2 linked regions of the Cricetulus griseus genome follow. The protein of the gene in region 1 purifies or fractionates together with the protein of each later gene. This does not show direct contact. Links are inferred from orthologs where the notes say so. Each region holds a gene or a part of one and is shown in the gene's direction. Other genes may lie near its edges.

What was found. Proteins that work in one complex are often made in the same cells at the same time.
Region 2: the proteins of Kbtbd8 (region 1) and Pkn1 purify together in Homo sapiens (affinity purification with western blotting; 3 studies listed by BioGRID and IntAct, with this or other methods). This does not show direct contact. The link is inferred for Cricetulus griseus from reciprocal best matches to the Homo sapiens genes KBTBD8 and PKN1.

Annotation. Positions count from the first base shown.
Region 1 is NC_048601.1:48,704,319-48,710,130, reverse strand, and holds the start of Kbtbd8 (kelch repeat and BTB domain-containing protein 8), read left to right. Parts: upstream 1-2,073; 5' UTR 2,074-2,156; coding exon 2,157-2,172; intron 2,173-2,715; coding exon 2,716-2,926; intron 2,927-5,812. UniProt on the Homo sapiens protein: Substrate-specific adapter of a BCR (BTB-CUL3-RBX1) E3 ubiquitin ligase complex that acts as a regulator of neural crest specification.
Region 2 is NC_048596.1:160,715,994-160,721,797, forward strand, and holds the start of Pkn1 (serine/threonine-protein kinase N1), read left to right. Parts: upstream 1-2,005; 5' UTR 2,006-2,181; coding exon 2,182-2,202; intron 2,203-5,804. UniProt on the Homo sapiens protein: PKC-related serine/threonine-protein kinase involved in various processes such as regulation of the intermediate filaments of the actin cytoskeleton, cell migration, tumor cell invasion and transcription regulation.

The DNA of each region.
Region 1 (5,812 bases):
CCAGGCCAGACTGTATGTAGCTAGACCCTTGTCATTTCAAAAATTTAAAACAAACAAACAAAAAATAGAAAATTGGGCAAGTGTCTCTTCAAGAGTAAGTAGAATTTCCCTTATTTTAACAGGATTGAAAATTTGCTGATTAAATTTGAACTTCAGTTAAACAGTCAGTTGTATGCTCCCCCAAAATGCATGCTCTATGCTTTATTTGCTAAATCTATCCTGAGCATTAATGCCATTATTTCTTAGTGTCCTCAGTATTGTGATCAAAATCATTTTACTAAATTGAATGCATGAAAAATGCAAATTCAAATTAGAATTAACAAAAAGTGAAATCAAATCCATCGTGTATAGACAGACTATGCTGATAAGCAAGCCTTTCATGTTTCATAAGGACTGTGAATGATGTCCATAAGCCCCGATTCCCAGGAAGCACATCTCATTCATTCACATAGCAGTATAGTACTCGGAACTTTGTTGTAACCAGTCTTTGTGGGGCTTCAGTCAGATCCAGCTGACTTGCCTGGTTTGTACCTGAGAGGGGGAGTGTGGATTGAGAAATGGCAGGTAAAGATACTCAGGAAGAGAAAGACACAGAAGAGGGTCAGAAGGGCAATCCAGTGAATACTGGATACAAGGAAGAAATAGACTTTCTTCCTTCATTCTCCAAACATTTGGTAACCATGACTTAGACTAAATTTCTTGTTATCTTGAGGGTCCAGAGTAACCACAGCCTCAGAGCAAGTTGCTTTTTATTTAGATAAGATGTCCATGACCAATACCAAACATCCTACAGTAGCCACACCTTAGACCTTTAGGTCCAAAGACTTTAACCTTGGAAGAGTAAGGATTCAGTTTTGAACTCTGACCTTAAGCCAAGATGAAGCAGAACCATCTCTCTCGGCCCTGACAGGACTTTGAGTTTCTAGAACACTTAGGGAATAGAACTCAACTATTTTAAATGATACCCAGTCTTTTTCAATCATAGATGAAAATTTCAAGACCCTTTAGTACGTTCACCTGGGGCTGATGGTGTGCTTGCATGAGGCTTCTATAAGCATTTCAACGGATCTGATGGATGGACAGGGATGGATAAAATTCCTGCTTTCTTGGGGAAGACTATGAGGTAGACAGAATGCCAGTGCTAATGGTGATTAGATGTTAGGGTAAGGGATGTATGTTCAAGAGCTGGAAGAGCTTGTGTAGGAGTCAGGAGGACTTCAGCACTGTCCTGGCAAGCTCCTCTCTCCAGCACTGTCCCAGGTTCAGCCTCTCTCCAGCCCAGAGGACTTATTCACTGTCAAGGGGCCCAGGGGAAATCAATCATCCGCCCCCGCCCCGCTCCAGCCCCTCCCCCACCCCCACCCCCGCCCTAATGCTCCTGTACTCTTCAGTGGCACCGGTGTTTCCTGGGTGAGCTAGAAAGGTAAGCCAAGTGGATTCTGGTCCTGAGTGGCCTTGTAACCAGATCCAGATCTGTGAAAAGCAGGGCATGTGACTAAGGTGATGCAATTTCAAATGGACGTCACAGGTGACTCATCAGAGGTTTGCTTTGGGGCCTACTGATATTTTTCTTCTGGGCGGGGTGTCTTATTTCCTCTGCATTTTTTGGATAACAGCCCTGGTGACCATTTCCAACTTTTCAGAGTTTCAAAGCCGTCATGTAGAGCGCTTTTTCATACGGGGAATCTAGTCACGGGAAGGGAGTTTGGGGAATGAAAAAATTGATTTTTAAAACGGAGAGAGGCCTTAGCCAGGGAAATGTGAGCTACAAGAGCTTTTCCTACCTCACGCCTCAGAGTGACAGCGCTCCTCAGCCAGAGGACTACATTTCCCGGCGGGCGCTGCTTATCTCACAGGCACAAGCTGGCGGGTTCAGGGCTCTCCACCTCCTCCCAGCTAGCCAATAGGAACGCCCGGCTTGAGCCTCTGCCCGACAAGGAGCACGCGGGAACCGCGACACTAAAACTACATTTCCCGATGCGCAAGTGCTCGAATACTGACCAATCAGCGCTATGCATTTCGAGGCCGGGGGAGGAGCCGGCCTGGTCAGCCACCCCCATTGGCTAGGCGACGCTTAGTAGAGCCGGAACCCGGGAGCGAGCGAAGCGCAATGACATTTCCTCTTTAAATAACCGGAGCCGGGGCCCCTTGGAGAAATGGCCGCGTCGGCAGGTGGGTGGCGTGGTGCGGCCGCCACGGTGCTGGAGGAGGGGAGCAGGAGCGCGGTTGCCGGCCCCGACCTGAGAGGCGGCCGTAAGGCGGGAGGGAAGGATGGAGAGGCGGCGGGCGCGGGGGCGAAGATGAATGGGGAGGAGGGCGGTGGGCGGCGCGCCCGCAGAGACGCGGCGTCTGGGTACCGGCCGCCCGCGAGGCGGTTGAGGGGCGCCCTGGCGTTCGCCCTCGGTCGCGCTGCCCTCGGGAGGCTCTAGCTCCGCGCTCGGCCCCGAGCCGAGTCGCCGCCGCCGCCGCCGGTTCGGCTAGCTCGCCTCACACCCTCCCTCCCTCCACGAGCGCGGCGGTCCGGGCTCGCCGGGCTCCCAAGGAGCGCACCGGCCTGGGAACTTGTTCGCCCTCGCTGGGCTCTCGTCTCCCAGAGCCTACATGGGCGGTCCTGTGCCTAGACACAGGATTTTGTGTAAAGGGTGAGGGCTGAAAACCCACGGACGCCTTAACTGGCTTCGAACTTCTTGTGTCTGTGCGATTTTTTCCTCCTAGATTTAAGTAAGTCTTCCCCAACAACGAATGGAATTCCATCTTCAGACACAGCCAACGAAGCCATGGACCCCTTCCATGCTTGCAGTATTCTTAAGCAACTCAAAACAATGTACGATGAAGGACAGTTGACAGACATTGTAGTGGAAGTGGATCACGGGAAAACATTTTCCTGCCATAGGAACGTTCTTGCTGCAATCAGCCCCTATTTCAGGTATGACGACGGTAGAAAGTTGTATTACTACCCTTCCCAGTATTGCCCACTTGGTTGTGACACTGAGCTGGGACAAATAAATAAAGGCAAACAATGCGTTTGTTTTCTCAGAGTAGGTTAACAGGCCTTGTCTTATTAATGAGCCCTTGATTTGAACTGTGGGGTTTTAGAATTCAGATAGATGGATTTTAAGTTAGTGAACCTCTGTGATGTGTTCCCCAATATGGAAGACGCCTGCCGCACGTGAACATTATAATGCTTTAAAATTAAAACATTCAGTAACTCAGCTACACTAATACATGTCAAGGGCACAGGCAGCTACATGTGGCTGCTATATTGGGCAGCGTAGATATACAGTGTTTCAATCATTGAAAGTTTTATTAGAGAATAATCAATTATTTTTAAAAATTCATTTTTTAGCATGTATAACATTTTTTTTAGTTTAAAACATAGGAACTTGTTCCTTTACCAGTAAATTAGGACTTAGGAGATTGTTTTAATGCCATGGAGTTTTGTAAAAAGTAGTGGAATAAATGAAATGAAAGTGTGTGTTTATGTCTTCGTTTCCAAGATTCCCAAGAGTATTACTTTTTTCACTTTCTATTTATTTTTATCATAAAATACTGAAAAGTGAACACTGTAAGCGTGGGTCTGAAAACTAAGTTCTTATTCTAAGATCAGGTGAATCTTAGAATCAGGTGATGGGAAAAGGTACTTTCTGTCAGTGCATAAATGTTTTGTTTCAAGTATTGCTTCTAAAAGCCCTTCGGTATTCAGCAGTGGCTCATGAAAGACAGGAAAAGCATCTTGTCAGCCTCACTCCTGCTTTATCTTTTGAGGTGCTTATAGGGCACATCCCACTATAATGTTGGGTTCATTAGTTTCTTGTTCCTCTTTCTCAGGATGCTGAACAAAAGAAGTATGGTTACCATAGGTTTTAGTGTCTAGGAAGTTAAAAAAAAAATGCTTGGAAATATTTCTGAACATACCATTCACATAAAGATGTTGCTAGAAAACTAAAAACCTAAATTCTTTTCTGCACACAAGTTTCTTGGCTCCTGATATGGGAATCTCAGAAATCATACTTAACCGTTAGCCTTGCATCTCAGGTGAAAGAATTAGAACAGCTGGAAATGTGACATGGCTGCTTCCTGATCCAGTGATTTGTCAAAATTAATGATTATGGAAAATGCTCTACTTGGGATTTTGTGGGAGGAAGCACTCCCAATGTATTTAGAGTACATGAAGACCCTTTTAGGGAACTCACCAAGGTGTCAGGCCAGTTCTCTGCATTAGCCTAGTCTGTTGAAGGCAAGAGGGGCTCCCATGAAGATGGGATATGTGAAGTTATTCTTCTACCTAATGAAGGGCTGGACTTAATTGGTAGCTATATAGGTGAATCACTTATCACCTGAACTGAAACCAGCTCAAATATAGAAACATCTGATTTGTAGTTAGTCATCAAAGCCTGTGGTAATATTAAACTTAAAACTTTATTGAAGTGAAAAGATAAGTAATCAGTATACCAAGTTGAGCCCTTGTACACCCTCCAGGTTTCTTATACTCCATTTTAAAATCTCATGTATTGAAAGCTGGAGAGATGACTCAATGGTTAAGAGCACTAATTGCTCTTACAGAGGATCCACATTTAGTTAGCAACACCCATATCAAGGCACTCACCACCACCTGTAGCTTCAGCCCTCTTGTAAACTTTGTAGACATCTGCACTCCCATGTGTACAACCCTGCATATACATACACATAAGCAAAAGAATGAAATCTTAAATGAAGCCCTATCTATTTGATAGAGACAGCAAAGGTGTCTGCCCATTATCCCACTTGGGACACTTTCACAAAATATAAGTTACTTTTATCCCGGATACCATACCGATTTTTTCAACAAATTCTATTAAGCACCCCACATGCTTTTCAAAAAGAATGAAAGCACACACATTGGGCTTTTGGAGGATTTTTTTTTTCCCCCTAGAATGGTTGGTTGTGGAAGTGCACGCCTTTAATTCCAGCACTTGGTGAGTCAGAGAGGATCGCTGAGTTCAAGGCCAGCTTAGTCTACAAAGTGAGTTCCAGAACAACCAGGGCTATGTAAAAAGAACCTTGTCTCAACAACAACAACAGAATGAAACCTTACAGAAAAGAAATGATGTTTACAAATGAGTCACACTTAGAAGTACAAGTATTTTTTTATCTGCTTACTGTTTTGGAAAAGAATGTTTCATAAATACACTCAGTTAAAAAAAAAACAAAAACTAGACTATGTGTTAAATATTAAATTCTATTTAGAAAAAGGCACTCTGTTAACCCTATCATAATTTTTTGTATGGCTATAAATAGGTAAAATACAGGAACTTTAAAATGAAATGTATTTATTTTAAGGAATAGTTTTCAAAGTGTCCAAGAATAAGTAAAGTAGTCTTTAAAAAGATTCCAGTTTTAAAAGTCATAGGTGAAACACAAGTACTTTTGAAGAATGCTGTTCTCTTCCTGAGATGAAAATTTGCTTTGTGCATACAAGTTCCTTGTAATTTTCACTGGACCATCAATTATTTTATTTGGCTTATTGTGCTTAGGGCTAATTTTGCTATCCTGATGATATCTTGAACTTTTTCTGGGACATGACAGTTTTTAAGGTTCATTATCTGTAAGGCAATTTGACTAGAAAGAAGCTTGATATGTGCTCCAAGGACAATCAGATCTGAAATATGTCACTATGGTTTGCTTTCTTACCAATATTCTCCTTTTTCCATACTTAGCATGTAAGACCAGAATCCTGCCCCTCTCCCTTTCCCAGGTCTTATGTGGACTCTGGTGAGACTGAGAAACCCAGTTAGCCCAAGATCTGATTAAAAAGAGATGCCCATAAGAGTCT
Region 2 (5,804 bases), on another chromosome or scaffold:
TTTATCAATCTGCAAAAAGGAAGCCAGATGATTAGTTTGGCAAGCTATTTAATTCACTCAGCACACATTTGAGGTATAATTAGGATGTTAACTTGCTGAAGGGGTGAGGAGAGACATGGAGAAGGCAAGGGCATCATCACACAGGGCCTGGTGGGTTCCTCCTAGAAATGTCTAGGCTTTAGGTGTTCATAGGCCCCCTTGGGCTGTGCTTGGAGAAGAGACTTTAGGAGGAGGCTGGGAGACAAGAAGGGTTCTACTCTGGTCCAGAAAGATCAGTGATGGTGTACTGGGCTTGTTGAGGGCTTGGGCAAGATGCTAAGGGAGTGGCTTCCCTATTGTTTCAATTTTCCTCCTCTCGGTTAAAATCCCAGAGAGAGAGAGAGAGAGAGAGAGAGAGAGAGAGAGAGAGAGAGAGAGAGAGAGAGAGGTCCCTGGGAGGACAGAGACACATAGATATACTCTTGTTCCCCTGTGCCAGCACTGATTCCTGGAGGGCACCCACTGTAGGTATTACCCGGAGCCCTGAGGACCAAAGTTTGAATCTCTCACTGGGTTTCTGAGTGAGAGGTCCTCACAGCTACCACAGTATAAACTCCACCTGCATTACTGTGGTCCCCCAAGAGAAATTCTGCAGAGGCCTCTATGGTCCATTTGGACAGTATGGGAGTACCGTATGAATGCTGCATCCAGGAAAAAGCCAGCAAAACTTCACAGAGGGCAAAAACTAGAGCCCCCAGGGATCCACAAGGCTCAGTGCATCAGAGGCCATGCTGAGGTTCAAATTCCTTTATCAATAGTGGCAAAGGAACTGCATGTCTGGTGAGATAGCTCAGCAGTTAAAGGCACTTAAGGCCAAGCCTGATGACCTGAGTTTGGCCCCCCCCAAAAAACGATAGGGTGGAAGAAGAGAACTGACCCTGCAAGTTGTCCATTGACCACCACACATTTGCCCTGGCTTGTGCATGCACGCACAAACACACAAGTCAGGCCCGGAGCAGAGCACCCAGGTGGGATGGCTCACAGTCCCATTTATAACTTCATTCTAGGGAATCCCATGTCCTCTTCTGGTCTCGAGGCCCTGTACATAAGTGCATAAGAGTCATTTCTAGCAAATATTATAAAACTTATGTTTTGGACAGTAATTACAATCATTATCTCCCCTACCTTGTAAGACTTTATGGAGATATTTTAATCTTCCCTACCCAGTAAAACTTTTGTTTATACATTGCCCCCCCGCGGCCCCCCCCCCCGCTCCATTCTAGGAATTTGCTGGCTTGGAGAAGTGACCCCATCCCCCTTTCTCCTCCACTCCTTCTGTACCATTTTTTTTCCAAACTAGCCAATTGAATAAGATTGTGAGGTCACCTGAGTTAGAATAAAAACCAAATGTACTTCCTGTCTCCTTGTTTGGTTTTCCCCAGCACTGTCTTGATCAAGAGCAAATTTTGCCTTGTTCAGACATTTCAGTTAGAATGGTGGTCTCTTTCTTGGCCACTTCGAACGTATTTCTAACATACATAAATCAAAATAGTCTTCAAAACACTAACAGTGACAGCTGCTGTCATTTTTTTCTTTTTATAAACTTGAGGTCTCTGCACTTGGCCTACTGTTTCTCATTAAGTTTTACGGACATCCTTGCCTTGAGGGGTAAGGTGGTCTCCAAAGGCCGGGGACCTGGGATTTGAAATCCTGTTCTCACAGTGCTTGCCTCCGGGAAAATGGGAGGATGAGCCTGTGCTGCTGGGCAGCGGGGAGATGGATCGTGACTTTTGCTTTCTGAGGGATCCGAGGCGGGGACAAGGCCTCTCTGAAGCTCGCGACGGCTTAGGCCTCTCGAGAGTTCCAGCACGCTACAAGGAGCGCAGGGCGAGCCGCACGCACAGCAAAGGAGACCCCCATTCCCGACTGCAAGCCCCGGGGGCCGCCGGGAGCCCCGCCCCCATCCGCCCCGCCCCGCCTCCTCCCCGGGCGCGGACAGCGGCGCTCACGTGACCCGTCCTGCGCCGCGGGCCGGAGGGCGCAGCTCGGCGGAGGCCTGGCCAGGCCGGGCCAAGCGAAGCAGGCCGGAGCGCGCCGCGCGCCAGGGAGGGTCTGGGCGCCGCGCCTCCCGCCGCGCCCGCTCGCGCGCTCGCAAGCCCTCCCTCGGCGCTGGGACCCCTGGCGGGCGGGCGGCCGGAGGACATGGCCGGCGACGCCGTGCAGGTAGGAGACTGGTCCGCACCCGCGGGGCGGCCGGACGGCACGAGGACCCCAGGCACCGGGAGAGCCCGGGACGAGGTCCCCTTAGGGAGTTCGCGCGGGCCCTTGTAGCAGGTCGGGGCGTCGAGGTGCTCGGAGGAAGAGGTGCTGTTCGCGATCCTGCCACCGCACCTCCTCCTCCGGCCCTCCGCGAGAGTCAGCGGGCGCAACGGGGACGCCGCTTGGGTGTCCCAGGCCAGCTGCGGGTTCCGTCCCCACGCCCTGCTCGCCCAGGACCTCAGCGTTCCGTTTCTGGCAGGTGCCGCTTTACCTGGAGCAGGTGCCTGGCGCCCTGCCGCGCGGCCCGTGCCCCTCCCCCGCACAACAAAGCCGGGCCACCCCCGCCCGCAGACGTCTTTACGATGATTTTGACGCCACCAGATGGGCACCTGTTGGAGGAAGTGCCTAAGTCACTTCATTAGGCCAGAGGCCGGTCCCCCCCGCCCCCGCCCTTAGTCACCCTTCAGCCTGACAGATGGAGCCATATCTCAGGTGGGGCGTGTCCTGTCACAAAGGCAGGAAGGATTTTATGTCTGGAAGGCGACAGGACTGGGTAACCGCATCCTTGCAACAGACACCTGTGACTGGCATCTGCCAGCCCATGGCCTTCCCTGTGTTACCTGTTGGGCATTTCTGAACTCACCTTCCCAAGAGGAAGCAGGGTCAGGATCACTTTCCACTCTCTAATTTAATGACCCAAATCTGAGATCTTGGTATCTTTGTGACTCCATTAGTTCTTCACCATGAAGTCCATTGTCCTATGTAACTGGTTTTCATCTTCTGCACCTGCCCCGTGTCTCCCCTGCACCCTCCTGTACCCCTCTTCCCCAGTCCTGCTGATGGCCTGCCGGCCTTGCCGAGGAGCTGGGCGTATCTGGTGCTGCCGATCTCACAAGGTCAGACCTCCGGAGAGGCGTGATGCACTGGGTGCTGGCTCCCCTTCAAGCCCACAGAGGGCTGTGGAGGGCTTTCCCAGAGCGTGCATGTGCTTGGGGTGTCCCACACAGGGCACATATGGAGGCTGTGATTCCCAGAATGAGTCTGGACCAACATCTCGTCTCCTCTCTGTCTTCTCCCTTAAGTTCATTCCTGCTTGGACTTGCTGCCCTGCCTCACTACCTCCATGCCTGTCTGTTCTGTGTCTGGCAAACGGATGTCCTGTCTAGATTCTGGGAACGCCCCAGGCATTGAAATCTCAGGATGTGGGGTTCTGGATCCCTAGCTACTTTGCCAAGAAGGTTTCCCAAGATGAGAGTTCTTGGTTTGGTGTCTCCAGGTCTGTGATGGCAGGTGGAGAAGCTGATGTTCTAATTCTTCAAGACCAGGCCAAGCATTTGCCCTGCTGCCCTTAAGTGACTCCTTGGCCCTGGGCAAGTGAATCACCCAGGGGAGGAGGACCCAGGAGGCCTTCCTTGCATGCGTTACACATTCTCAGGCCTCCTCTACTGGAGGTGGGGCTGAGAGCCTTCACTTTTCCTCTTTGCCTGTATGCTCCCCATTTGAACTGGCCCTGCTCCTGGCTGTGTACCTGCTTTGCCTGATGGTGGGGGGAGGGTGATGGTGAGGGACCGTGGGTGGGGCCCAGTCATGCCAGAGTGTTGTTTGGTGAGGCTGGGCTTAAATCCAGTGCTGTCTTCCCTGATGAACTCCTGGGTGAAAGCCATTACTTTTCTGAGTCTTGTTCCTGTTTTGGAGGAGGGAATGGGGTTATGAATGGTTATGAGAAGAGAGGTGGAGTCTCAGCCAGTGCTCTAAGGGCCTCTGTGACGTCTTTACCTGTGAACATGGTGCTTGGTAGTCCAATCCGGGAGCCCATGCCTCTTCCCAAGGCCCCAGCACTGGTATTTGGGTCTGGATCGTTTTGTGGCGGGGGCTGTCCAGTGTGCCTCAGGGTGCTGAGCAGCAGCACTGGCCTCCACTTGACAGGTGTCTCTTGTGTACCTTGGTTGTAATGACAACCAAGAATGACCCCAGACATTGACATGTATTTCTAGAGATGATGAAAAAACAACCCCATCTTCACTGAGAGCCACTGTTACGGCCTTTTTGAGTCCCAGTTTCCCCCCATGGTGACTACTATTCAGAATAGTAGTCACCATGGGGGGGATGATATATAGAGAGGAGATGATAGGATCATAGATCTGTGCTCTTGACCTGCAATCTTATCTACTCTCCAGGAGGGCTTAAGAGCCTAGGAGAACTTTGCTCACAGTGGTAAGGTGTGGTGCACATGGATCCCTCCCAGTTAGTGTTAGGAAGCTTGGCCCTATCTCTTGCTGGCTGTGGGATCTTAGGGCAAGGGGGCCTTAGGTAGTTTCTTCCTTTCTTCTTTTTTTTGGTTAGGGTCTCACTGTGTAGACCAGTTGTCTTGGAACTCAGACATCCTCCTGCCCCTCTTGCTGGGTATAGGGATCAAAGGCACGTGGCAGAAAGCCTTGCTGGGCCTCAGTTTCTTCATTTTGCAGATAGTTTGATTTCTGTCTATGTATCTGAGGCATCTGCATCATGCTGTGCCAGATGTGAAGGTGCACGCCACAATTCTAGAACTAGCAAGGAGGAAGCAAGAGGGGCAGGAGTTCAAGGCCAGCCTTTGCTGTGCATTGAATGCAAAGCCACCTTGTGTTACATGAGACCTAGCACAGAACACTATGAAGCAAAACAAAACAGGTAGTACCTGTAACATGGAATGACATTAGTTGAGACTTGGATGGATTGTGTAGCTGCTGTTGTTGTTACTTACGAGGTTCGGAGCTTGTACATTCTACCAAACTTCACCCACTGCTGTTACTACTACTTTTATTGATTTTATTGTTTTTAATGATGTATATTGGGGGGTATGTACATATACCCGAAGAAGCCAGAGCCATCATCAGATCCACCTGGAACTGAAGTTACAGGCACTGCTACTAGGACCTGAACTCAGGTCCTTTGGAAGAGCAGTGTGAGCACTTAACTGCTGAACCATCTGTCCAACAACACTCCTACTATTTTTAAAAATGTTTTTGTTTTAGAGCAGTTTTAGGTTCACAGTAAAATCCAATGGAAAATAGAATGTTTTCATATATACCTTGTCCCTGATACGTTTTAACTGTACCACTGATAGTTCAGATTTAGTGTATATTTGGCAAACAAGTGTGGTCTCCTATTTGGGGCCACTCAGGGCTGTCTTCTCCTGGAGTGAACTTCAGGGAGCTACTGTTAAGGCAGGTGGGCCCCCTAGGCTCCCAAGCTGAGATCAGCCGTGGTGGACATCTGGGTAGGGAGAAACAGGAAGTTGATGCTGCCTGTCTACAGGAAGCTGCACAAATACACACACACACACACACACACACACACACACACACACACACACACACACACACACCCTCTACTACAGCACTGACTGTTCTGATTCTTAAGGGGAAGTTGGGGACAAGGGACAAGACATGAATAGGCAGTAGCATGACTGAGGGCCTCAGGGCTGCTGTGGGGACATGGGCAATGACAGAGAGAGAGAGAGAGAGAGAGAGAGAGAGAGAGAGAGAGAGAGAGAGAGAGAGAGAAGCTTATGGAGGGCTCAAACTAGC